Linked DNA regions of Mytilus edulis. The main gene of each other region encodes a partner of the protein of the gene in region 2 in a complex. Links are inferred from orthologs where the notes say so. Each region holds a gene or a part of one and is shown on either strand. Other genes may lie near its edges. The genes, in order: RING-type E3 ubiquitin-protein ligase PPIL2-like; small nuclear ribonucleoprotein Sm D3-like; U6 snRNA-associated Sm-like protein LSm5; RNA-binding motif protein, X-linked 2-like.

Region 1 (7,464 bases), about 10 Mb from region 2:
GAAATGCATCAAAAATATACATTTATAAAACAAATATACATCACTCTTTCACCTCAAATAATGGCAATGATACAATCACTTAGACACAAAATTCAAGTTTTTCAATCAACAATCACTGAATGATTTTTTTTTATTTTGTCATGTTTATATATTATTTAATTAAGGATTTAAAATAATTGTAAAAAATATGCATATAGAAATTACAAATGGATAGTATACATGGTATATACATGTATGCATTTATGGTGCAATTTTTTCTTTTACATTAACATAACCAGAAAACTTATTTTTTATGACTTTAACAATAGAAGTATGTAATATATATCTATTTGATTACAGAAAAATTCCCATGGCACACTGTTAAAGTTAATATAATCTTGATAATAAAAAGGGATCAATAATTAGTAAATCAAATTACAAAAATAACTGTCATTTAGTTGAAAATTCACCAAATGTGCATTTGAAGATGAACGGGAACGTTATGGTTATCACGTTACACGTAAATCACTGATATTTAAAAATCTTTAAATATGTTAAAATAATTGCTAATGAAATCAAATATTAATTTAAGTCATGCCTCTGGAATTTGTGGATATTTGATTTTGTGGTTTTGCCAATCTCTGTATACAAAGCCTATTCAGATATGTGTTGTTCATTGAACATTTGAATTCGTAGTTCATCTCTACCCATGAAAATTGCTATACAATGAATAATAATGAATCCAAAGTTGTTTTTTTAATAAAGAAATACTAAAATTTAGATGAGCATGCATACATTACATGTATATATGGCAATGAAAAAATTAAAATACATGTTACATGAACAAAATTGTATGTGCTATTCATGCCATTAAAACTTGTATCTGATTTATAATAATAATCAACATTTTACTTTAGTTTAATTGCATTTTGTATTTTAAAGCCCCCACTTTTTTTATTTCAAAATGCAGAATGGCAGAATTAGAACGTTAGTTAATATTGATAAAATTAAAGTTTTTAAGATTGTATCATCATCATCATCATGATGTTTATTGAACATGTTGAATTTGAGTCTTCAACATGTAATTTTCTTTTTATTATAGTTTCTACTTTTATGACTTTTGGATTACTTGCCTCAGATCAACTTAAAATTACAAAATTATATCTGAGAAAGGGGAATTGAACAGTTCAGATGTCATCTATGACATGTACATTTGTATGATTTACATGTCATGCATGTATTAATCATGTTAATGGCATAATGATAAAATATCTTTATGTGACAAAATATCTTCATATTTTTATGAAACTTGGTATACATGTACATACAATGTACATTGTAATTTCATTTTCACCTGGTAACTTTCAGCATGAACATGATGAATAAGGTTAAAATTAGTCAATTATAACATACATGTTTATATTTTCACCAGTTACTAAAGTTCCCTAATTTCCCTGGTACAAATTTAGCTTTCTTTTTTTCAGTCTCTGATTGCTCATCGCCTCCTGATCTTTTCAAACTAGTTTCACTTCCAGTCGAATTAATGTACTTTCCAACACCAGATTTGTAAACCGTAGGAGTACCCTCAGCTGCAACCTTCCTCTTCCTTTCTTTTTCTAGCTTTTCCTTTTCTTCTTTTGCCTTCTGAAGATCTTCTTCTCTTTCTTTTTGAAGTTGTTCATCTGCTTCTTCATATGGATCTACAAACACTGCACAGTCTTCGATTATTATGTCTTCCTTTGGCCTATCTTTCTTGTCTGTCTCAATGAGTTCTACAGCATCTAGTGAACCTATTCCACCTACAACTCTACCAAATACTGAGTGTTTACCATCTAAATGATGAGCTGACCTGAAAGTGATGAAGAACTGAGATTTGTTTGTGTTTGGTCCAGAGTTTGCCATACTTAAAACTCCTCGGCCGGTGTGTTGTAAATTTGGTTTAAATTCATCTTTGAAAGTTCCACCCCATATTGATTCCCCGCCAAGGCCTGTACCAGTAGGGTCTCCTCCTTGTAGTACAAAATTTCTTATTGAGCGATGAAACTTTGAACCTTTGTAGTACTTATTTTTACAATGCTTCAGAAAGTTCTCACATGTTTTTGGGACCATATCACAATAAAGTTCAATATTCAGTGGACCATAATTAGTGTCAAGTTTGACGTATCCTTTCTTTTTCACTCTTTCATAACGCAGTATATCTTCATCAATAAGAGCAGTTTCATGTTCTGTGACGGGATTCATTGCTGTTGAGGTAAATGATGCTGCAACTTGACCAGTAGAATAATGAGCTGCATTGAACTTATCTGCTTTGGCCATTGAAGCTTCCTCCTTTACTGGAGCTTTGTAAGTTTTTTCAAGCTCATCAAGGACAGATTGAGTCATGGTGCTTGCAGATCTGATCTTTGACTTTGAATCAGCTTTGTCTTCATTTGTAACCTTTAAATTATGTTTAAAATGGTAAAAATTGGCAAAATTGCATTTTTCCACATCTGTGGGGTCCTGAATGTTTATGATGTCAGCCTTTGAAAACGGCTCGTCAGATAAAAGGTCTTTCAAGTGATTTGGCTTGAGATTAAGTTTAGCCACTGCGTTTTTGCTAAACACGTTACCTGTTGTTTTAATAGCCACGATGCTAGAGTTCTGATTAAAAACCTGAAACGTAACTGGGCAGTGAAATTTATCATCTTTGTTTTTATAAAAGTTCAAATGGATCAGATCTTTTGCTGTCATCTTTTCTCCGTTTACCGGATTCACGCCGTACTTTTTCAGAAACGGAACAATGTTCATGATATCGAAAATGACGCCGTCTTTGGTACATAGTGGATCTTGAAAAGGTTGGAACGATAAGCTACAACAGTAGAAAGGTAAACGTCTAAATTCTGCAGATTTCTGAAGCTGACCTTTATATCCTCCGAATTCTGTTCTCCATTCAGTAGATGTAAGATACAACTTATCTTTCTGATGTTGTTTTTTGCCCATTTTGCTTGGTCGGAAGTTACTGTATCATGATAAAGAAAAGAGTGCACTGACGGGAAGGGAATGCGCGAAGTTCCGATACCCACATTAACTGGCCACCCGCTGATTGATACTTCGACAGATTGAAACAACAGCAGGGGTCCAGTTTAATACCCACATAGTCGGAAGCAAGACAACTCGCCTCCTGTAAAATCGTCCCAAGTCGCCCCATTTTTTTCACCAGGTCGTCCCACTTTATAGATAGTCGCCCACTTATGAAAAAGTATTTCCCGTTAAATATACTCCTTCCAACTCTCCCCATTTTATAAATCAAGATATAAAATGATAAAGGTCCGCCAACTCGCTACTGTAACGTAACGGTACCCAAATTGCACCGAGTACCCAAATTGCACCTATTTAGCTAAAATAGCAGCGGACATCTAACAAGATTTCCTAGAGACTAAACAGTAAACATTTTGTATTTTTATGATTTGATACTATGCACATCTTTCGACATAGGTAAATATATTTAGATATGCACAAAACGTTCACAACAGTATTTATCAATAGATGAAGTGTTTACTGAAAAAGCAAAATGAACTGAAACGTCGCCATGCCGTCATCAAAACGTCATCTTTTTAAAATGATGAAATACAATATGTTACAAGTATCCATTTAAAAAAAATGAAATTAAGCATGGACTAATATCCAATTGTTTAAAATATTTGAAGAAATTAAACAAAAGCTCTGTTATTATTAGACTTTTGACGATGCGAATTTAAGCATAGATGCAATTTGGGTACACTTCTCATTTCAGAATCATTGATGGTTTGGAGGTCAGTTTAGACCCTTTTTTCTAATATATGATTCAATATGAATTAAACATCAAATTGGTGTTCCAATATAATAAAGAAGGATACGGCTAGAAATTAAACACAGAATGGACATTTTTGTCTTTATCATAAAAAAACGTAGATGAAAAAACTGTCAAAAGAGGTGTAATTTGGATACCGTCACGTTACACTTAAAATGAAAACTTATATATCCAGAATAAACAAAAAACAAACGAAATTTAATATGATATTTTTTTTTTATTGAAATGATGTACTTTTGTCAGTTTCACTTCTTAAAATATAATTGCAGATACATTATTTATGACATTTATTATTATATAATTTACCTATTTATTGGAGATGGAGAATAACTTTATTCTTGCAAGCTAAATTATTTGCAAAATAATTGCAAAAAAAAAATCTATTCATTGTATCATAATCCGATATATTTGCATAACAATTTAAAGTGAAATAGTGAAATAATCACTGATTCTCTTTTAGCAGCCAGTATGGTTCAATTTTGTCAAAATAAGATAAGAAAAATAGATGGTGAATTCTTCACTTGCAATAATTCGACCTCATTGAATCCGTAGAAATGAATAACGCATGCACTGTCCGTGTTCAGTTATTTAAAGGAAATGAATGTCAACATTGAAAGTGAAATAAAGATGAATTAGTTAATTATATGGCGTCCAGACTAAAAAAAAACAAGAAAGTATGCTAATATCTTATATACATTAGTAGATATATAAATATTTACAAGATATCAGTCGAGCTTATTAAGAATTTGTTTAACAGACTATCTTTTATAAAATTGAAAATGGAAATGGGGAATGTGCCAAAGAGACAACAACCCAACCATCGAAAAAAACAACAGCAGAAGGTCACCAACAGGTCTTCATTGTAGCGAGAAATTTCCGCACCCGGAGCCGTCCTTCAGCTGGCCCCTAAACAAATATATAGTAGTTCAGTGATAATGAACGCCATACTAATTTCCAAATTATACACAAGAAACTAAAATTAAAATAATACGAGACTAACAAAGGCCAGAGGCTCCTGACTTGGGACAGGCTCAAAAAATGCGGTGGGGTTAAACATGTTATGAGATCTCAACCCTCCCCTATACCTCTAGCCAATGTAGAAAAGTAAACGCATAACAATACGCACATTAAAATTCAGTTCAAGAGAAGTCCGAGTCTGATGTCAGAAGATGTAACCAAAGAAAAAATAAACAAAATGACAATAATACATAAATAACAACAGACTACTAGCAGTTAACTGACATGCCAGCTCCAGACTTCAATTAAACTGACTGAAAGATTATGATTTCATCATATGAACATCAGGCACAAATTAATCCTTCCCGTTAGGGGTTTAGTATCATACCATCATAACATATATGAGAAGAATATAACCCGTGTCATGCCAACAACTGGTTTTTGAATAAATGTGTTTAGTTCCGATGCAAAGACCCTATAAGTGAATCAATATTAACGCCAAAATATGCAATCTTTATAATGACCTGACAACAGTATCGTAACTATATCCCTTCTTAATAAGTCTATTCAAAGATTTTGTTAGTTTTTGAGGTGAATACTGACACCTTTGTGCTTTATAAAGAATATTTCCATAAAAAATTGGATGTGAAATACCTGAACGTATAAGAAGTCTGCATGTTGAGCTATATTTAAGAATTGAATGCTCTTTTTTGTAAATTTATTGGGGTGTAAAAGCGTTAACCGAAGTACATTTTGTATGAAGCGCGGAAGTATTCAAGATATCTTATATACTTTTACAAGATATCTGATTATCCCGTTAAGATGATATCTTGAAATTAAATAAACAGTGATAAATTCAAATTAATTTAAAAAAAAGTACTTTTAAAAAATACCTCGCAGTATAATGCGGAAAACAATCATCACTGGTAGGATTTTCGATTCTTTATTTTATTGTACGCTACTGTTACCCTAGCGAAAAAGCCAAAAAATAAGGAAAGAGAACATCAGTGGATAGAAAAGAAACCAGTATTTCGAGGAAATATTCTCGATTTTCATGCAAGAGGAGTAAGACTGCTTAAACAATTTGTCATAATCACAAAGGTTAAGTAACTTAAAGAATACCTTTTATTGTATAAATAGACACGAATATGTCATAATTAGAACCTGAAGTAATACTTTCACAATGCCGCATCTCTATTTATTTGTTTCAACTTTCACTTTATCCTAAAGTCATAATGAAACCTCAAATCAGGAACATATATATATAATATGAGGCAGGCATTACCTGTGAATACACCTTATCGCTAATCCCGGCTGACCCGGCCACTTGAACTTTTGACGCATACAACAATCACTTCCATTGTGGCGTCAGATATTTTGTTTTATGACGTCAAAATTTTACGGGAACCTGTGTGATTTCCAGTAATGACGGACAAATAGCGATAAGGTGTATGGGGACAGAGTCTGTATGAATTATTTTTTTTTGTAACTTACATATTTGTTAAAAAAAAGAAACGGAAATACTGCATTACTGTAACGTTTCCGATTTTGGTTCTGTTGTTAGGGATTTTACTTGTGACGTTATTTAAGTTATGAGGTCATGTTCAATGTAAACAAAGAAAGGCAATGCATCAGGTAATGTTAATTCATATCAAAGACAAAGAATTATTTAAAATGAATTCTAATATGACGTGCTTCTTTAGCTTTGTAAAGAAACCGTATACTTTATTATCCAATAAAATTAGTTTACACATGCGTATATTGACTACGGCAGAAAAATAAATTTCGTCAAATTGGTATGCATTTAATGTATTTCCTTAAATTAAAGCACTTTCAAACACTAAAATGATACACATTTTGTTACTAATACTTTTCCAATAACAACAATGTGTTACAATTCGTAATTGTCATAGTTGACCTAGAAACCACAACGTTCATGTTGGCTGTTCTAACTTCAAAACCCCTCCCTCGTTTCATCTCTCCTGTTAAAAAGGCATGTCATTGTATATAATAATTTCATTGAAACATATGTTCCGACGATAAAATATAAAATAAAGTATAGGTTATTATTACTGTTGTACTGAAATGACAAAATTGTTTCATATTTCTGATAAAATGGATTGACCCTAGCAGGGAATCGAACCCCATTCTCCTATAAAAAGAAATAGGCGTAATTACCAATATACCACCAAGGTTTCCAATCCATTTCACAAATGCAACAAGATTGTCACCCAGTATTAATTTAAATCATCATGTTATACAGCATTTGAAACCGTCAGATGCACAAAGGGCACCAACTTTACAAGGTGTAGCCACCGCAAGTATAAATGGAGATCTGTCAAACTGAAAGGGCCCCTCCTGCCAAGTCTCGAATGTCAGCAAAACTTTATCAAGGAATCCTCTATCAGATATGAACATATTTACCAATGCTACAATATCAACCGGCGGAATATTTACGATTAATTTAGTAAATAAAGACCTACCCGATTCTCCTTGTGCAGTGGCGGATCCAGGGGGGGGGGGGGGTGTTGTGCGTCCACCGCCATTGACAACTGACTTGAAAATGTGCGTGTCAGAAATTGACCTCAAAGGAAAAGACTGTTGTAATATAACTTTTCTGTTATATTATGACACAAATAGTGTTTTAGTTAATAAATTAATTTGTTAATTTCTGTTTCAATTTTGAATTTTAGAAATTA
Region 2 (7,092 bases):
GTTTAGTTAACATACAAGTCAGCAATGTTTCTTTCTCATTTTGTACAAATGCTTTGAATGACTGATTTAAATTACTTTTGACCTCTTGATATTATGTACGTTTGATCAATTCTTGCATTGTGTTTATTTTATGTATGCAATATCTGTAATACATGTATATTGTTCTGAAACAGCATTATGATCTGGTGTTATTTTATAAGGAGACGAGCGCTATTCAATAATTTTATCCAATTTCCAAATTGCCACAGCAAATTACAATCAATCATCCAATTTTCATTGTAATTTTGTAGTATGGTGAAGTGCTATTCTTTTTGGGAAAGGGGTTAAGTTCCAAATCTCCCTTGAGGAAAAGGATTAGAATCTTAGCTGTGTACTAGTACAAGGAAAATGTATAACTTGTATGCATCAGTTGTAATACCTGTAGCGGTTCTATAATATCATTAGATTTGAATGAATATAGATATGACTTTTATTCACAATTCTGAAAATGTTTGTTTAATCTTCTCTTTTTTTTCAATTGAAAACTGGGCGCAGAATAATTAAATTTAAGCGAAACTTAAATGTATCATAGATTTATAATATCATTTTTAGTATATTTCCTATCCAAGCTGAAAATTAAGTACCCTCTTATAACCTGACAAATTATTTGGTTGCAGAATAATTAAATTTAAGAGACACTCCTCTCTTTACCCGACAAATTATTTGTGTCTGAAAGTTAAAATAAGTTGAGAAGTTGATATATCAGAAGCCATAATAGATCATTTGTTTATAAAATCATTTTTTATCTTGCAGATATACACATACTTTTTTACTGATTTTATATGTAAAGATATAAATAGTGCTATCATCATTTGTAAATAAACATCCCATGTACATTTTAGGTACTGAATAATCTGGATCTGTAATAGGTTACAAGTACTTCACTCATGTGCAAAGGTAATAATCGAATTGATGGGGATTTTTTGTATTGTGCAGGATTTCTTCTTGTAAGGACATTAACCATACAATGCTTTCCAGACCTAATAATTATAAAGAGCACTTCTTGAATCTTACAATTTGTCTCTGTTTTCTAAAGACAAATCTACACATTGATATGAAATACCAGTTGAATTGTATTATAGAAAATTCTTAATGTTTTAACATTTTCATACTTGGTATTTTTTTTTATTGTAACTCTATTGTTCAGAGTTAGCAGTTATATGTGTGTTGGATGAACTTATGAAAATATATAAAGAGAAAATCAAGTGATAATTACACTAGTCACAAATGGTCCAAAAGTTGTAATATCTAAAAGTGACGTTTAAGTGTGATTTATGAACATACAGTATATAGTATAGAGGTTGTATGTGTGACCAAAAGTATCACAAAATTTAAGATTTTGTCATTGTAAATCTATTCATTGATTTTGACGATTGAGTCATTTGATTTTAATATTAAATTATTTAAACATAATGAACATTGTTTTCTTTAATTTCAGTACCAATTAAGTATATATGTATATGTATATATTAAGTGCCTAGAAAATCAACCTTAGGATGTTAGAGTAGATTTGATTTGTAACTTCCTCCCCGGCGCCGGGGCTGGAACCTGTATTTGGATATATAATTTTGCATACAATGTTGCAATTAAATCTTGAAAAACATGTTGACTGCATTAAAAAAAAAATTCTTATGAATTATAAGCTATTTCTAAAATCATGTCTTTTGACAGACAAGATTGTGGATTACACACTTTCTGATGATGGCATTTACCCAATAGACGGCTGTATCCCTGCATCAATAAAAGATTGTGGATTACACACTTTTTGATGACGGCATTTACCCAATAGAAGGCTGTATCCCTGCATCAATAAAAGTTTCAAGTATCTTCATTATCTGCAACTAGCCAGACCAGTGACCAACTAATCAGATTTGTATTTCCGAAATATTTTGTGCCGTAGGAATGGTAACAAAATAATTAGGGCCCCGCCTTTAGGCGGGTCGCCCTATAGTGATCAGTCTGTCCGTCCGTCCTTAACACTTTAACTTTGTGTCCGCTCCATATCTAGAGAACCATTATGATTTCATACTTTATACTTTGCATGTTTATTAACCACCGCCAAAGGGTGTGTCATGATGTATGTACAACTTCCTAGGTCAAAGGTCAAGGTAAAAAAACTTTGGTTTCAGTTGACAACCCTGTGTCCTGTGGTGAAGACCGTGTCCGCTCTATATCGTGAGAACCGTTATGATTTCAAAGTTTTTACTTGACATGTATATGAACCAACACCAGAGGGTGTGTCATAATTTATGAACGACTGCCTAGGGCAAAGTTCAAGGTCAAAAACTTTGGTTTCAGTTGACAACCCCATGTCCTATGGTAAAGATTGTGTCCGCTCTATATCTTGAGAACCGTTATCATTTCAAAGTTTATACCTGAAATGTATATAAACCAATATCAGAGGGTATGTCATAATTTATGTACAACTTCCTAGGTCAAAGGTCAAGGTCAAAAACTTTGATTTCAGTTGACAAACCCATGTCCTATGGGTGCTATAAACAGTTTCGTACTAAAAACTAGGGGTATTTCCCCAGTGAGATTTACATACTGATGGAATTCCCTGCTATTTATATACCACTAAATGAAAAAGTTGATTGTTTTTTATGTTCAATGTGAAAAACATATATTGAAGTTCAATTAAAATGCCACTTTTGTCAAGATTTAAAAAAAAAAAAATGTTTTTGTGACTTCCTACTATATGGGAGGCAACTCCATAAACAGCTGATTTTCACCTGTTGCAAAAAGCACTTTGATTTGTCAGGTAAGATAGCTCCTTTCGGAGCAGGCGAACGTAGGCTGAAACTACATTTTCTTAAATCAGCCGGATAAGCTCTTCGAAATGCATATTATAAGAAATCTCAAATATATGCACAGGTTACTGATCCGTGTGTCCAAAGGTGGTCTTTTTAAGGTTTTTTAGGGGGAAAATGCCTAATTTCCAGCTGATAACTTGTACCAATTTGCATGTTTAAACAAGAGATGTTGGATTTTTTTTTATTTATTCAGAAAGTTCATAGAATTATCTTTCCATTGATGTATAGATATCTATATAACTATGAATATCTGACTTCTGCATGATGGGTCCACTATTACATGCCCTGTTACAGAATGACGTCACGTAAAAAACTGTTGATTGCACCCTATGGTAAAGATACAATTTTTTAATGCACATTATTCACAGCGGGACCCACAGAGATGGCTCCCATCTCAATGATATCTAGTTAACTTCAAATATTTTGTGGTGTATAATGATAATAATAATAAATTCTTTATTTAAAGAGGGTAAACACATATATAGCATCCTACTTTTCAACCATTTGCTTAACATGTGTTGGAAATGATGATAAAATTGAGAATGGAAATTGGGAATGTATCAAAGAGACAACAACAGGACCAAAGCAGACAACAGTCGAAGGCCACCAATAGGTCTTCAATGCAGCGAGAAACTCCAGCACCAGAGGTGTGCCTCAGCTGGCCCCTAAACAAAAATGTATACTAGTTCAGTGATAATGGACGTCATACGAAACTCCAAAAAATACACAAGAAACTAAAATTAAAATCATACAACCATGTTATGGTTTGCTGGAAGATGCAGATAAATTAAATTCACTATTATGTATCCTGGATACCTGCTCTTGTTCTTACTGTGTATTTACAATTTAGTTTGACCTGACATAACTGTAAATCTCAACTTGCAACCTCACCTACTCCAAATAATAACATCTGTGAAAAACTGCCAAACATAAATTAATTCTTAGGGAGCAACTATTTAACTTTAAGGGGGGTTTAATATGGTATTTTTGTGTGAGTAAGACATTTTAGGTATGGAGGAAATATGGATTCAGATTAATATTTTTTTGTTGTCTGCTTGACAACAATATTTTTGTTCATAAAATTGGGGAACAGAATAATTTTTTTTTAGGAAAAAGCCATAATCTCTACTCTTGAAATTAAATGGGTGTTCCCTTAATATGCTTACATTATAGTAATGTAGAATTGAAAAAGTTATATTGCTACAACCTTGATTTTGTAAAAATTAAAACAAAGCAAGAAATGGATTGCTGTTACAGTTATGAACGCTTATTTATTGTCCTCCATCCACAGGTGCAAGAGAAGATTTTATTATAAAAGTATATATTATAATACTCTATAACGTTTCTATATTTATTCACAAAATTGTATATTGATACAGTATAAATATATATATATATATATATATATATGTATGATAAGTTGGCATATGTATACACAATAACAGTCAAAACTTGAGCTCTGATGAGCTCTTTAACCAACTATAGATGTGATATGCAAGTTATTATCTCGTCCCTGTGTAAGAGTCTGAGTTTGATCCTTATTCGATGCAGCTCACAACAATGGCTTTTTATGCAATTAATTGTTTTAAACAATGTTTTTTTATCAATCAAGGGTAAGTAAAAAAAAATTAAATGACCTGTCACTTAGTTTGTGACAGATCATTCCAGTTTTGGTGCGTTGTTTCATATTACCAAAATTTTGGTTTTTAGTCGTAACGGAAACGACCGGTGCGCGTTATCCGCCATTGTTTGTTTTGATTTTTGCCGGCACTGAAAAAATCCATCATCATCTGTGATATCTGGCAACAATTTAGATTAATTTATACTCATCAAGGCATTTCAAAAACATCATCATGTCTATAGGGGTGCCAATTAAGGTTCTCCATGAAGCAGAAGGTCATATTGTCACCTGTGAAACTACGACAGGGGAAGTTTACAGAGGCAAGCTTGTTGAGGCTGAAGACAATATGAATTGCCAGATGACAGCAATAACATGCACGTACAGAGACGGTAGAGTTGCACAGCTGGAAAACGTCTATCTCCGTGGAAGCAAGATCAGATTCATGATTCTGCCGGATATGTTGAAAAATGCACCTATGTTCAAGCGAGTGAAAGGAGGATCTGGTGGAGGTGCAGGAAGAGGGAAATCTGCAATTCTCAGGGCACAAGGTATAAAAAAGCTTGTGGGAACTTAATTACATGGGTAACCTGTATTTTATGTAAAATCGGATGCCCACCTCTCTCCCTAGGCCCTCATCCAGGCATAATTTCAGGCTATTATAGCCTGAATGCCAATTTGTGTGGGTCTGAAAGGCAAACATAACTAGATTTTGCAATGCCTGTAGGTGCTTTATAGTTTTATGGCTGTTCTGTGTTGAATTATGACTCGACAAATGATTCATGCACTTGACAAATCCCTGTAATGAAATGTTGAATCGTTCAGATCCCCACCCATGACCTGACCATCAAGACAATAGTCTAATGATAGTCAATACACCTTATCGCTATTCCCAGCTGACCTGGGAATCTGTCTTGCTTGAACTAGTGATGTCATACAACAATCACTTTTCCATTATGGCGTCAGATATTTTGTATTTCAGTCTGCACCAAAAACTTTTTCAACTACTAGTCAGAAGACCAATATTCTGACATTTTTCTTATTGGGCCAAACAAAATTTTGCAAAAACTTACTAGTCCGAATGAAATTTTACTAGTCTGGGGCATCGGACTAGTGGCTAACCATGCAGACTGGTATTTTGACGTCAAAATATTACGGGAACCTGTGTGATGTTCCGAAATGGAACACTAATAATGATGAGGTGTATTAAAACGTGTTAAAAGCTCATGACTTCTGATAGTACTGATCAGACAGGAATTTGTTGCTACAATATCAATCAACAGACCATATCTTTCAATTGTCATATGATCGAATTACTGGACATTGCATCACAGCAATATTACTTTCGGTTAAAACTTTGGTCAAACAAAATTTCTGGAGCCACTTTAGAATAGAAAAGTGAATTTTGTATGAAGTACAAAATGAAACTTATTTAAGGTTGATCAAAAGTTGTTGAAATATTAGGTTGTATTTATACCAACATATACAAACTGACGCATCAATCAAAGTTTTAAGGTATGCTTGACCTAGATTTAAAAAGTTACATGTAGTTTATAGGTCCTGAAAAAAGATAACTGATAAACAGTTAACGTTACCCGTACATGTACAAATGTATATAAAGTTATTGCAAGTTGATTATTTATTACATATTTTGTTATTGATTTAGCACAAAAACACTATGCAACCAAAATGCTTATGAAATTTAACTTCTTGAAGAAATTGATAACATATTCTCCCTTTCTGATATCCTAGCTTGGGCCTTGCAAATGTGATTTTAATTATGAATAACCGACATGTATGAACCTATAATAGTTGAACTGATTTATGAATTTTGCGTATTTCAGCTGCACGAGGAGCTAGAGGTCGTGGTGGTGGTGGCCGAGGAGGAGGAGGATTCCAGAGAAGACATTAACATTCTTTCTTTCATTGACATTTTGTGAAATCAAGCTGAACAATCGTGACAATGGATGAGTGTTTGTAAATCTTGCAATTGTTGTCAAAATCCAAAACAGCGAAGTTTGGTTTTTATCATAGAATCATTACATTCTTCATGATCATGTGACATTGTCATGTTTTACACTGTATTTATAAAATATTTGATGTACATTTATGTGTTTTGATCTCTTCATCACTGGAGTTAAGATGATATTGTAACTTCCCAAGATAGCAGACTGAAAGTAATGTGTAATAACTCCATCCTAATGATGTGCTATAACACAATTGCTGCAGGTTAGAATACCGGTAGAGTTGAACTCTCAGTTGCAAACTTGTTAAACGCAGTCACATCAATAATATTTGTGTCAATTTTAAGATCTGAACCTGTTTTTCAGTGGTTGTTGGTTGCTGTCTTGTATCTGTTTTTAGAAAGTTTGCTATAGCTTGCTACAGCCTCAACTTCCAGTTAGACAGAATATCGCAATGTTCTGCTCCAAGATAATGTTACGTAGTACTAGTGTTAGAATTCTGATTCTTGGATATTTTGAGTTGCTACTCTTTTGGAAAGATTACAGCTTGAATTAAAAAGGAATTAATGTTCACGGACAATTCAGATGAATTTAACTTCATTTTGAAAATAAGAATCACAAACACTACTTTGAGGAACGGCCATTGGCTGAAGAGAAA
Region 3 (6,833 bases), on a different chromosome or scaffold from region 2:
GACATTCAGCTTTTTTTTTCAGACACTTTAAAAGACATACAATAGACCATGACCTAGGTAGTTGTTCTTTAAATAGGTCAAAAGGATACTGACATAATCATCAAAACCAAGTAAAGTTCCAACTATTTCTTTATCGTTCTTCATCACAATGTGGATTCGAGATCCTATACATTTATCTACCAGTTCTGAAATGAGAAATTAAATAGTTAAAAACTAGTGTCAGAGCTATTGATCGTAATATTTCCAATTTCTTCTTTAAAATTTTTATTACTTCAATGTAATATTGGATGCAAAAAATAAGTGAAATAGGTGAAATGGAGATTTTTATATAACATCTTTTCATAAGTTATGCTCATGTGATGACTATTATACATGTAGATAAAAAGACTTATTGATGTTATCATGTTCATGTATATATCATATCTATCTATATTTATTTATTTTAATAATTGATTGCACATTTGATTTTACACTGTTAAGTTTACAAGTACAGTTTTGCAAACACATACCTGTCAACCTGTGACGATGAAAATGCAGGTCATGACCTGCATTGAAGAATCAAATCTCAGGTCATAACGCGTACGAACTTTTTCGAGCTGAATTTTAGTATTTATGGTACATTTTCTTATGATTTAATGTATATCAAAGATACCAAAACATCAATGCATGTTAACTTGGTTAAGTCATTTTAAATCCTAACAATTATTTGCAATTTTAAAGACTTTTATAATTTGTGTAAAACAGTCTTATGTTCTTTACTTTTTGTGATCATCAAATACTAGAATTTAGTTTTCAAATGTAATCTTAAAATGTTTGAGGCTACTGGCAATGTAGCCTTAAAACATTCCATCATCAAATTCAGAAGGAAATTAGACTATGATAAAATATAGTAATACAGTTAAAGGAAGTATAAATGTAAAAAATAATTTTCAACTTTTAAAAAAAAATGTATAAAGGTATAAAAATAATGTAAAGTTATTTTTCAATATGTATTTGAATTTTTATGATTTAATCTTTTTCACCCATAAAACGTAAATATAAGGAATAATTTTGAATAGTGACAAATAAGGGGAAATAACTCTTAGTTGAAATATGTTTGTAAAACAACAGGGCAATTTATTTACGACCTAAATCTAAGGTAATTGGTGTTAATTAATAGTGTGTTTGACATCAAAGCTGTCAAGTGAAGCCATGCACTTAATTGGTCACTTAATTTGACAGTTTACATAACTAGATGAACTTCCTGTTCATTGAATTACGAATTTGCCGGTATTTCAAAGGAATATTACTTATGAAATCAATCTCAAGGCTAAGAAATACGGGTGAAATCGGTTCATTTTCGGAATTCCCGGGTTATTTCAATGACCCGGCGGGTGTCCCGGGTGTCCCGGGTGATCCCTCAGAATTGTGAAAATCTCGGGTCACACCCGCAGAATACGGGTCAGTTGACAGGTATGCAAACATACGAAGAGAACAGAAGAATTTAAATTGTTCATCATTTTTTAAATGTTTCCGGTCTCGTCTGAAATCAAGAGCAACTATAAACATCGTAGACACATCAGAATGATCCAAAGATCATGATTTCAATGCACACAGAAGGTTAGTATACACATTACGCGTTTGGTCCACATACTTATGTATATATGATCCAGAACATATATAATAACACCCGGTACGAAACGTCTTGGTAACAAATTAATGTAGTTACGAATTGTCTAGCAGAGCTTGTATCAATTGTAATGGTACTGGAATTTTTTATACTGGAAAGACTACACAAAACCACCGCCACACTTAAGATCTTCTCTAGCTGACAATCAAAGTGCAGTAGGACTCCTGACACTAAATTGGGCACCCAAATCCTATATTGATGTAATTCCAGACATCAGAGAACACATCGAGGACCTAAGAACTAAATGGATGGAAATTTGCATCCTATGGACACCAGGACACACAAATATTCAAAGGAACGACGAAGAGGACTTATTGGCAAAGCAAGCAGCAGAAGAAGCAACACAACTCCTGTCAAAAAAACAACATACTTACCCTTCAAGATGTAAAATAAGGTGCACACAAGAGTGTCATGCTGAAGTGGCAAAGACGATGGGAATTAAGCAACACAGGAAGAGAACTTTTTGAGATAACACCAAACGTTTAAAACATCCCAATCTTTAATTATCCAACCAAAAAATACTTCATCATCTTTATACAACTAAGAACTGGCCATACAACCTTTAACTACTATAAACAATGCACAGGGCAAAACACCACTGACTTATGCAGCTGTGGAACTAAGGAAACACAACAAGACTACCTCACAGAGTGCCCCAACTACGAGAGTTATAGAGAAGAAATGTACCATCAAATTACAAAGGATCCCTCTTACTGTTTTGTTAGATTTCCGTATACCGCTTACACTATGTACGTAAGCAATTTTCATTTTTTTTGTCATTTCCAGAGTCCCGCTAGACCTTACTTCCCGTTTTCACGACACAATAATTTGACTTTCACGTGTCCCGCTTACAAAAAATTGGCAATCCCGCGTCACGCTTAGACCCCAAATTATGAGACCCACTATCATTCGATGAGATCTACAGTTAAAAGTATCTATAAAAGTATGCAGCCTCCAACCAATTGAGTCAAAGAAAGTGTACCCTTAACAAAAGCAGGAACAGTATTTGTACAGACTTCGACCTCTTTCACATGAAAAATTATATACCGGTCTTTTTAAAAATTTATATGGTCATAGATATGGTTTGAAACTGTTGTACATTTATGGTTTGAAATGACAAGCTTCCAAAATTGCAGCCTTAATTGAAAGCCAGTAAAAAATACACTATCTATTATCGTACACTTAGCACAAATTACCAAGTGGAAGTAGCTGAGATGGATTTGAGAAAGTTGTCATCGTGGGTTTCTCACATGTGGATTTGTTGACAAAGTAGAAAAGGCCAAAGAGATAACGAAAGAAAAGGCCGATTCGACACTAAAAATAAATTTATTCTCGGGGTTTTTGATACTTAAGAAGAAGGAATGAGTCATGGCGGTAAAGTCGAACACGCCTACTATGACAAATTCCACCGGAAGCTACGGAAATATCCGATGTCTACCGAAATAATAATTTTGATGGCCGAAAAAGATGAAGATGCTACACAATGATGCTGATTATTGTAAAGAGCAATTAGAGCGTCTCATGGCCGAAAAGACATGAACAATCAAGAGCACAGAAAAGATGTGACTAATGAGAGAGAAGTGGAATGCTATTATCGCCCAGGTACAGAAAAACAAAGAAAACTTTACTGTTTTTATATGAAGTTTATCTCGTCATGGTCCATTGCGTGTTCCAAAATAAATGCCAAACAGCAAGATAACTGAATTTTTCTCATGTTTTAAGCTTTGAACACACTAGTTTTGAAAGTTATGTATCAAATTGTCTTAATGTTAAGTTTTATTATAAATTAATCAACAATACTTTTGATTTTGATATAAACTTTTTGTCCAGAACAAAATAATTTATGAATGTTTGGAAAACATGCATATATATGAAACTCTGGAAATTGGTATCTAAACATTTGAGTTTGATTATTAAACTGTATGGTGTGTAGTGTGGATTATGGCCTGGCAATATATCTGTTCTGTGAACACTCCCAAATCACACTTAAACTATAATCAAGAGATACAAATGTATAATGAAGATGTCCCACATTCAACTGGCTTTGAACTAATCACAAAGAAAAATGTTCCTGTAAATATTTGACGTCACAATAGAAAAATATATGACGCCACAATGGCAGGGGTTAAAAAATGTTGTTACAGATAACTAGCCCAGGACTTATTGGCAGCAGGATTTTACTAGCCCTGTTCGAAGAACTGCTAGCCCATCAAAACTGACCTGCTAGCCCATGTATGCCTTACAAATCAGAGTTTGCTGCATAATACATGGTGGGTGTCATGTTTTGAAGGGGACATTATACACCGTTTTAAACTAGTTTATTTTCTGGCAGAGAAAACATGTTTATTGGTTTTATCGTGTGAAACAAGTGGTTTAATTATTATATTAGTTGCCCACACATACAAGGGAGACCTTTTATTGGGATGGTCGGGAAAACACTGGCAATATTCGCAGAACATGGTCTCGGTAATTTCATCCTGGCGCCACAGCCGACCTTGCCCAGGGGAATCTTTCTGTCCATGTCACTAGATATGTTCTTTTCCGCTTTTCCCGATCGTATTTTACATTTTTTCTAGATGAATTTTTAGCCTCAATAGTACCCCCTTCATCTACCGATTAATTGAAAATCTCGACAGCAGCAATGCACAATACCCCTGTACTGAGAAATCGATATTGAAAGTGTGAGATATTGCAATCAATAGATGATACCTGGCCACCCTGAGTTATTTGTTCTATTTTTAAAACATGTAACTGTACAACAGACTTGCGTTCAATATCGTAGGGTTACGTAGTGCTACATAGATTTTTGTCTACTGAACGAGTAGCTAGCCTAGCTGCTATCAATATCTATGTAGCAGCTAGGCTAGCTACTCGTTCAATAGCAATAAATCTGCATAGCCCTAAGGGAGTTACCATTTGATTTTTATGGGGGGGGGGGGGGGGGGGGGGGGGGGGGCTAGGATGAAAAATTTTGTCCTGCATTTTTTTTTAGTTGTAATCTCTGTCCTGCCTTTTTTAAATGTGAGGTCAAATATTTTGAATTGTGATGTCAAAGTTTACGGTAACCTGTGTGATTTTACATAATGGCGGACAAATTTGCATACAAGTGTGAATATGTCTATATTGTCATAGCGGCACAGATTCTCAGGTCAAGCTGCACAAATTTCCAAATAGTGTTAAGGTCTACATTGTATTCTGTATGGTCATTCCCTGTATTTGAACAATGTCGTTGGGTAATGTGATGCCTACAATACTTTCAGATATTGTGTGTGATGTCAGATAGAATCACTTGAGTGTTTTCCGGGTAGAACTACATTTTGTACCTACATGTAAAGTACAGTAAAAATTCTAAGAGAAGGCAAAACACAGGATACATTCAGGGGCGTAGCTCGAAAGAAACGATGTGGATGCAACTACTGCTGAGTGGAGCGAGGCTAAAAATTTTTGGGACCCTATTATGCAGAATTTTTTTTTTTTCGGGGTTTCGGTCATAGGACGGTTATAAGAGGAGCTATATGTAGATAAAAATTTATGAATGTAAAACTATTAATAAATCTTCTGAATATAGTTACATAAACAACACATATTTGTGATACAAAATTTACTCAAAATTGTCCAAAATCTGCTATTCGGGTCTGGGCAGAAACAAACTTCTCTATTACTTTGTCAACATTCACACTGAAATCCCGATGAATATGCAGTAATGCTATGTAACTTTCGTTGTTCATTGTTGATCGTACATTTGTTTTCAATTACATACGTAGTACCGTGACTGATAGATCTCAGGGCCGTCATGGCATGGTAGCACCCGCGAGATGTTATAAACCAGCGTACGTGTTCGGCATCGAGCAACCTCCCAATTGAATTTGTCAAAATTACATGCTAGGTCAGTTTCGTATGTTTCAGACAGTATTGAGATTTGTTTGTTTGTGATATTTCCTACAACATGATGAAGCAGATACAGCACAAAGAAGCGATTTTCTGATAACTTGACGCGACTCCACTCTCCAGTTGCCTTATCATATGGTCTATGAACACAAAAAATAATGTTTTGGCCTGGTTGCAGGGTGATTGGCTCCGGTAGTCTGTCAACCACATCGCCTCGGCATATTTTCAACGATATCCAAGGGATCTGATAATTCTAATGCCGATTGGTACATCTCATTCCAAACTGATGAACTGTACACTGTAAAATGTGCTCCAAAACTACATATCTTAGACTGAGCATTACAAATTCAAAAGTAAAAATCTTTTAAAAGATACAAGTAACCTTCCGATTTTGTCATAATCTCCAAAAAAAAAAATATTTTGAAACCAAATGTCGTTATTTAATGAAGTTATTTATTTCATCAATTAAAAAAAGTGACAACATAGCTGTTTCCTTTAACATTCAATTGATAAATTTTTATTTTGCCATTTCTTTTTTTGCATGCCGAATCAATGTGCACACAACTTCGAAGCTACGAACTTTTTCTGAATGAACAGCTTCATCAACACTTGTAACAAGGTTGTCAAACTTATATCCGGGATAGACGGAAAAGACACCAACAGTCTCCGATTCCGATTGACCAACTCATCTCTCTCTCTTCTGCTTTTTTTTTTTTGACGTGGATGCACGTGCTGTCGTGCCTCCGGGTAGCTACGCCCCTGACATTTGTGTATCAATGATATCATGTGTGCATTCAGATGTTATATTTAAACCACCATCCTCAGCAAGCAACTAAAGATGGAGTTATATCAATAAGAGGGTAGTTATAGCTATTTTACTATGATTTCAATTCAATATTTGTTCATGCTTGCCTTGAAACCCAAAGGTATTTCTAAATGTATTCACTGTGTTTAATGCAAGATGCTGAGCCAAAAATATCTATACTTTTTTTTTCATTATGTTGTTTCATACTGTTTCTAACAGAAAATATAAATCTTACTTAGTGCTCAGAATATGACTGCCACTTTTTTTTTTATTGAATTATAGAAAATGATGCATATTCTGTCTTCAGGTTTCCATCCCAAATGATAGCATGTGTACATGTACATGTACATGATTTCAATAGTGACAAAGTTTGATGAATTGTTGTGTGTTTATCCAACCCCTAACATTAAAAGTGGAACTGGATCTGCTTACCCTTCTGGAGCACCTGATATCACCCCCAGTTTATGGTGG
Region 4 (7,566 bases), on a different chromosome or scaffold from region 2:
ATATGACCAACTTTTTATCCAAAATCACCAGCATCGTATCAGGACCCACTAGCACAATGACAGGACCCACCAGCACAATATCATGACATGAATAAAGAGAGAAAATGCAAAATTTTAATAAATTACAAGGGGTTTTCACAAAATAATTTTGTCGTGTGGATTTGGATATAAATGGCGGACTCCAGGAGCATTTTTGTTTTATTTTTTCATTTCTAGATTTTCTGAAAATTAGTATGTTTGTATTACGCTCACTGAAACAGCTTGAATGGTCACATTTCTAATGGTTGCCTTGAACCCATAAAAAAAAATAAAAAAATAAAAAAATCTCAACTGTTTCCTTCCATTCTTTATGAGAAAAAAACGTCAAAAATCATAATATTCGTCTTTGTTTACATATTTTCGATGCATGATCACAAGCACCGGTCAGGACCGAAATAACAGCACAGACCGTTTTCTCGCAGGACAACTTTACCCACCGTGAAATTGGTACTGCAGTAAGTTTTAAAAGAGTAACATACACGAATAGATTGTCCTTCGGTGATGTATGCAGTTGTTGGCTTTGCAAACAGGCTTGGCGTCTTCGGATTGGGTATGCCTTGAGCAGCAGTAAGACCTCTGTAAAATCAAACTTAATAAAGATTGTATACAAGATAAGTCGCAAAAGAGTGAATGTATTTCATTAAACTTTTAACATTAAAATACTCTAAAACTCTAAAACAGAATTAGTCCAATAAAGAGTTTACTGGTGAGTCTTGGTGGTTCTGATAATCTTAATATAGACATCAATCTCTAAAATATATATGTTGTATATACATTATGTACACAGCCATGTATCACCATCATTGATGGCGATCCGATGGATACATCTGTTGTAGAGTTGTCACTGACTCAGACGTACTTATAAATATAATTATTTTCTGTGACTGTATATTACATTAATTTGTAGGATCCTTTACAATAGATAATTTAGCTGATCTGTAACAATAACATCTTCATGCCTTCTATATCATGTACTGTAGTACGCCGCTAGATTAAAACTGACGAGGAAAGGTAACAAACGGCCAGCGAAAGCTTTTTTTTTTGAGAGCCCAGGTGGTCGTGTGGTCTAGCGGGACGGCTGCAGTGCAGGCGATTTGGTGTCACGATATCACAGTAGCATGGGTTCGAATCCCGGCGAGGGAAGAACCAAAAATTTGCGAAAGCAAATTTACAGATCTAACATTGTTGGGTTGATGTTTAGACGAGTTGTATATATATACATCTATCTTTACACCTTATACATTATATATCAGTATTGTTAAAACTTTTGCACCGAAGAAGGCCATTTGTTGAGCCGAAATATTTGCAATTATTGTATAATTTATATCATCTGTTCAGTTTTTCCATCTTTGTGCGAGACTCATATAATTTTTCCTGTTTGTGTAGTATTGTCAATTTTGATGATCCAATACCTATTAAGTTTACTGGTTGGTAGATTCTTATAGACTCTCTCTCTCTCTCTCTCTCTCTCTCTCTCTCTCTCTCTCTCTCTCTCTCTCTCTCTCTCTCTATATATATATATATATATATATACATATGTAAGTTAAGTTTCAAAGCGATATTTACCCCTTTCCGCTTTAAATACCTTCTTCTTCTTAGATATAGTAGTTAAACTCAATAACGAGTACTCATTACTTGTGCGTTACGTAGATGTCTATTTACAATAAAAGATCAAGGATCAAAAAAGAAAATATGGTGCATGCTGTACAGTTGGTGCAGGATAAAAAAAACATTCCATCATCTCGGTAACCAGTATCTTGAAAGCTTCGATCACTTTCGATTCCGGTAATTTATTCCAGGCTATTACCTTTCTTGGAAAGAATGAGAATTTGTAGTAATCATGTCTTGGGTTGAAGATGGTGTATGTCATGGTATTGTAGTGTCTTGATGTTCTATTTAGTGGGATGAGGTAAGTATCTGTTGGAACTGCTACTAGCTCATTTACAATTTTGTAAAATATGCATAATCTGATGTTTACTCTTCGTTGGTAGAGAGGTATCAAGTTAAGCTTGCTTATCATGCTTGTGACACTCGATTGGTTACTGTAGTCGTTGAAAATATAGCGAGCCGCTCTATTTTGTCAATATTTTCTTGCGTATAGGGATCCCATATGGCTGCGCTATACTCCATTGGTCTTATAAGTGCGTTGACAGCATTGGTTTTTGTTTGTTGTGGAGCTTTTTTGATGTTTCTGCTAAGCATCCCTTGTGCTTGGTTTGCACTGGCTACAATGTTGTGTATGTGTAGGTTCCAGCTAAGGTAATTTTTGATGGTAATTCCCAAGTATTTCGTGTCTGTGACTGCTTCTAGTTGTTTCCCATGATGCATGTAATAGGGTTCTTTTATGGGGGGGTTTTAGATCTTGTTAGGTGCATCACGTTGCATTTGCTGACATTAAATTCCATTTTCCATTTCTGTTCCCGTTTCGTCAAGGTAGTCATCTCTTTTTGAAGGATGGCTTGATCTTTGGTAGTTATAATTTGCCGGTAGATGGCGCAATCATCAACAAACAGACGAATTGTTGACTGTATATCATCAGTGATGTCATTGATGAAGATAAGGAAAAGGACAGGTCCAAGTACACTGCCTTGGGATACTCAAGATGTTACTCCCACTTTGTCTGAATACTTATTTTCCAGTACAACTGCCTGTGTTCTGTTGTCTAAAAATGCTGTGATCCATTTGTGATTTTCCCTCTTATCCCATAGTGTCTGAGCTTGTGTAGCATGCGTGGATGGCTGACTTTATCAAATGCCTTTGCAAAGTCCTGGACTATCATATCTGTTTGTGTCGATAAAACAGATACGCAAAATCTTGCTATCTGCAGGTGTTTTTTCTTTTACAATTCCTTCAATCGATCTCTGATGTGGTCTAAAAAGGTTAGCTACCTGATATTTGTTCATCTGATTTTGTTCAATTATTTTAAATGAATAAAACATATAAAAAAAATCATTTTTGCATCAGAATAAAATTGACCAAATATGAGAAATTTGATAACCTTTATGGTCCTTTGTCTCATCTGTGGAGTGGGTACATCAAATAACTGACAAACGTATACTTATGATTTTATAGAGTAGAAGGTAATACTAACTTGTAGTTTCGGCAGACTGCGACTATTTTCTTCCCAATTTCTCTAAATTGTTTCAATCTTTCAGCCATTTCGAAGGCCAACTAACATACATATATATATGAACTCGTAAATTTGTGCTTTATACCTTTCTCAAATCAACTATAAATTATACGTATTATCAATGTAAACTTTGATTCTGTTATCTCATCTTAAATACTTTTGTTTGCTTAAAAGCACCGTTTGTCCGTTGATATCTTCAATCACGATTTCAGTATAACTTGTGTAGTTATAGTAAAAATAATAATGGTCTGATTTCTCTAAATACTTTGGGGTTACTAGCTAAGTCTTCTTGGTATGTCGTCCGTGTTATTATGCTTATTATCATTACCATCTAAAGTCATAAGTAGACCTTAAAATAGAGCTGTCAGAACATTTTAATAATGGTTTCTCCGTGTCTCTTTTCAGCTAATGCACAGAGTTAACTGTTTATTCTGCCGCTAGATAAAATGTCTATTTTTATCTAATGTGAAATGTGGGATTTATATTCCACTATACTAGATGAATATCTCTTTTAAGCTAGTGTGGAGTGCGAGCTGTATATTCCACTGCTAGATGAGTGTCTCTTTTAGTTATTATGGAGTGCGAGCTGTATATTCCACTACTAGATGAGTGTCTCTTTTAGTTATTATGGAGTGCGAGCTGTATATTCCACTACTAGATGAGTGTCTCTTTTAGTTATTATGAAGTATATTCCACCATTAGATGAATCGTTGTCCTTGTTAGATCTTCTTGGCAATCATTTAATTGATAAAAATACAAATTGTGCAGATAGTCTCCTTACGTACAATGTTTACTAGGTCGATTCAATTATGTTATTAGTTTTACTGGGGAAAAATTGTTATTAAAATTAAATATAGCCTCATTTGAAAACTTTCTTTTTAAAGTCAGTCGGATAGAAATATAACAAAATTTGGGAAAACGATATGTTTTCTGCTATGAAAGAAAAGTAAAGAAAAGTAAATTACGTACTATACATAAATAAGAAAAAAAAAAATATACTGACTTAAAATATAAAAACCGGGCCATAGATGGGAACGGTAAAATATGAATACTTTATAATGTTATAGCAGAGACATGTATAATATGTCTCTATTTATACCAAGTAAGTATTTGTTTGATGATGAGACGAAGTTGGGGCGAGTAGTTTTCGGGGCCAAACTTTGATTTACACGATGGTTTTAAATCTGAGGGCAAAATAAAAAGTTTTACCTTCATCTTCCCTTTCTTGAATTCAACAAAAAAAGCTGAATAATGCACAACAAAAGTAAAAACCAGCAAAACTTGTCATTTATAAAGGTTGAGTATTAGTTAGATGACATGATGATATATCATTTGTGGCGAATGTATTTTGGGGCGAAAATGACAAGCTGAAACTCTTCTTTAAGAAGGGCTGAAAAAGGTATAAAAAGCAAAATGTTTTTCTGGTTTCGTTGTCTTGCTGTTTGATCAGTTTTAGCAACTCTACGTGACATTGGAAAGATATATTGATTAGTTAGCAATAGGACATGAATCCTCTCACGTAAATATTCTGCTTAAATTATATGAATGGAACACGATTTTTATTTTTCACAAAAATTACCTGATCACAGGCACTTGTCTCAGAAAAAATTTCCTATATACCTTATTATAACACAAAGTACTTAACTTGCATTTTAGAAAAATGTCAGGTGGTGACGAAGTACCGTTATATGCCGCTTTATAGGCTGTCAACCCCGCTAAAACTTGTTATATCGTAAATTAGTCCGAGATTACTCTGACGTCCAACGGCTGTTTTGCCAGACAAGCTGGGGCCGTGGGACGTCAGAGCTCGTCTTATATCAAAAAGTGGATATTTGCCCACCCAAAATAGATGCGCTGCTTCGTCGCTTCTGCTGCCGACTGACGGCCTTGGAATTATATAAATCGGGCATCAATCTGTTCATTTTTCATAAATTATCTCTTCATTTATGTAAGTTTCACTTACCTGCCAACCTTTATTTTCTCATTAGTAGACAGTTTTCACAGTGACCCATCGATTTCGGCATTTTGAATTTCACTTTTATTTATTAAGTTATTAAAGTGTTTGCTCTCACTGTTAAATCTGGCAGGTTTTTCCATTAATCCTTTTAAGATAAGATAAGATAAGAAAACTTTATTTTGATTCGGCATGAGTACAAATAAGCAACACAAGCTCTAAGGAGCTTTTGACCGAATATAAAAACATATAAATAACATAAAAACAGTGCATTTTGACATATAAAACAACCTGTAATACAAAGTTGAATCTCACATACATAGCATGCAATAAAAATAATCAACAAATTTAGAATGAAGTAAAAACATGCTTGACCAGAGCAACCAAAAGCAGCATAAATAATAAAACAGTTTAAGAATTATCTGCAAGCAGAACAGTGACATTCCAAACCGTTCCAGGACTGAACAAGACTTTTAAAATGTGAAAAACTGTTTTCAGTCCTGAAATGGTTTGGAAGACTGTTCCATAAAGTAGCAGCAGCAAATTTGAACGATTTTTTACCGTAACGGGTTGACTTTACCTGTGGAATTTCAAGAATATTTACATACCTGAAAGAATATTTAGATTTTTTGACATTCACCAAATTTTGTAAGCACACAGGAGCGATGTTGTTTATAATTTTAAAAGTTTCTAGAGCCATTGTTCTTATCCGTCTGATCTGCAAGGAAGGCACCTTAGCTTTAAGTAAGAGGTCCTCGTAGGAGCTGGTAAAATCCTCATAAACAAAACGGAGTGCTCTTTCCTGCACCTTTTCTAGTTTTTTGGAATTTTTCTCAGTGCAAAAATGCCATGCCAAAGGGCAAAAATTAAAATTACTAAGAATAAAAGTATGAAATATAGTAAGTTTACTAAGTCTATCCAAAAATGAGCCTAAACGTTTTAAAACATTTAATTGCTGTGATGCCTTCCTACAGATTGAGCTGACATGAACATCAAAATTTAGCTGGTAGTCTATTTCAATGCCTAATAATTTTACTGTTTTTTCACATGTGAGGTTCGAATTTTGAATATGTATAGATGGGTTCTTTTCAAAGGTCTTTTTGCCAACAGCCAAAACTTTTAATTGAAAAATGTCTTACACTTTTTCTTTAAAAAGTCTTGAAAGCGGATTCATGATCAGGTTATATGTCAGTAATCACTGTAATGTACATTAGTAACATCAACAGAATCTGAACTTGTTATAGTCTTGACACCGATAGGAACAGAAAACAATAAATCATTCAATATCAGAATGTAAAAAACATAAGAAGGACTCCCATTTTAACCTTAAGGTTGACAAAATAAGACATATTTTCAAATTTATATATATATACATGTATATTAAATTGATATTAATGCAATCCTAGTGGCAAACATACATGTATACTGCAAAAGCAGACATTTTCGTGAAGGATTTAACTTCGTTTGTTTCGTGGAAAGAATATATCAACAAAACTAAATCCCCCACGAAAATTTAACCTACATATAATATCACTTCGATTTTCTTGGAAACCATGAAAAGTTAAATCCCAATGAAATCTTGTATATATGCACAAAACTACGAAATTTAAACCCCATGAAAAGTAATGATTTCACAGTATGTCAAATTCATTCAATACTCACAATATAAGTCGGACTCTAAATATAAGATAATTATCTGTTTGTAAGCATCAGCTATAGCTAAGACAAGTTAAAGCCCAATAGAGGTAAAGAAATTATCTCCCTTTAGTAATTTTAAATGAAATATAGTTTTGAATTTTAACCATGCATTTATAATTTTTAACCATTTCCAGGTGAACAAATTGGCCTATACTCCAAGTAAATTTTGTGGTGTAAACAGACTGGTGTAAACAGACTGGGGAATTAATTAGCAGATAAGAAATTCTGTGATTTAGAGTTTATCAAAATTTCAAATATACAAATGTAGTTTAGATGTTAAGATAGTTTCATTATATTAGTAAAATTGAAAAAAAAACACCTTTTGCTGCTAAGATACAATATTCATCTGTAAATTCTTGATTTGCTGAATAAAAAAAATGCTATAGTATAATGAAGGCTTTAAATAATGATGATATATTTCCAAGTCCAAAATTTGAGAAATAATGTGGTGCATTTGGAAAAAAAAACAACTTAAAAGAGTGATATAATTTAAGAAATAAAGTTATAATATACTTTAACAAGTGATTTTTTTTGTAATTATTCAAGATTCAGTACCAGATTATCATTACCTGTCTTCTATATAAACACAGATGTTAGTTCGAATAATGTCCCAAGATCAATATATACATTTGTATTTAAAGCTACAGTAACATTAAAAAAAAAAAATAGTCTAGTGATTTATAGGTACTTCTTACATGTATATAGATGATTACAAAAAAAGAGTTAAGACCATGAAGACTGGACA

Evidence for each region.
Region 1: small nuclear ribonucleoprotein Sm D3-like (region 2) and RING-type E3 ubiquitin-protein ligase PPIL2-like share a complex: the UniProt entries of both Homo sapiens proteins name them as parts of the minor spliceosome. The link is inferred for Mytilus edulis from reciprocal best matches to the Homo sapiens genes SNRPD3 and PPIL2.
Region 3: small nuclear ribonucleoprotein Sm D3-like (region 2) and U6 snRNA-associated Sm-like protein LSm5 share a complex: the UniProt entries of both Homo sapiens proteins name them as parts of the U4/U6-U5 tri-snRNP complex. The link is inferred for Mytilus edulis from reciprocal best matches to the Homo sapiens genes SNRPD3 and LSM5.
Region 4: small nuclear ribonucleoprotein Sm D3-like (region 2) and RNA-binding motif protein, X-linked 2-like share a complex: the UniProt entries of both Homo sapiens proteins name them as parts of the minor spliceosome. The link is inferred for Mytilus edulis from reciprocal best matches to the Homo sapiens genes SNRPD3 and RBMX2.

What each region holds. Positions count from the first base shown.
Region 1 is NC_092349.1:71,243,416-71,250,879, reverse strand, and holds the start of RING-type E3 ubiquitin-protein ligase PPIL2-like, read right to left. Parts: upstream 3,002-7,464; 5' UTR 2,959-3,001; coding exon 1,405-2,958; 3' UTR 1-1,404. UniProt on the Homo sapiens protein: Has a ubiquitin-protein ligase activity acting as an E3 ubiquitin protein ligase or as an ubiquitin-ubiquitin ligase promoting elongation of ubiquitin chains on substrates.
Region 2 is NC_092349.1:81,658,303-81,665,394, forward strand, and holds small nuclear ribonucleoprotein Sm D3-like, read left to right. Parts: upstream 1-4,571; 5' UTR 4,572-4,705; coding exon 4,706-5,021; intron 5,022-6,314; coding exon 6,315-6,382; 3' UTR 6,383-6,576; downstream 6,577-7,092. UniProt on the Homo sapiens protein: Plays a role in pre-mRNA splicing as a core component of the spliceosomal U1, U2, U4 and U5 small nuclear ribonucleoproteins (snRNPs), the building blocks of the spliceosome.
Region 3 is NC_092357.1:54,417,731-54,424,563, forward strand, and holds the start of U6 snRNA-associated Sm-like protein LSm5, read right to left. Parts: upstream 3,002-6,833; 5' UTR 2,906-3,001; coding exon 2,866-2,905; intron 186-2,865; coding exon 90-185; intron 1-89. Other genes in the region: kalirin-like, read left to right, coding at 3,205-3,271. UniProt on the Homo sapiens protein: Plays a role in pre-mRNA splicing as component of the U4/U6-U5 tri-snRNP complex that is involved in spliceosome assembly, and as component of the precatalytic spliceosome (spliceosome B complex).
Region 4 is NC_092346.1:77,143,092-77,150,657, reverse strand, and holds the start of RNA-binding motif protein, X-linked 2-like, read left to right. Parts: upstream 1-4,548; 5' UTR 4,549-4,674; coding exon 4,675-4,688; intron 4,689-7,566. Other genes in the region: oxaloacetate tautomerase FAHD1, mitochondrial-like, read right to left, coding at 519-615, 3,131-3,198. UniProt on the Homo sapiens protein: Involved in pre-mRNA splicing as component of the activated spliceosome. As a component of the minor spliceosome, involved in the splicing of U12-type introns in pre-mRNAs.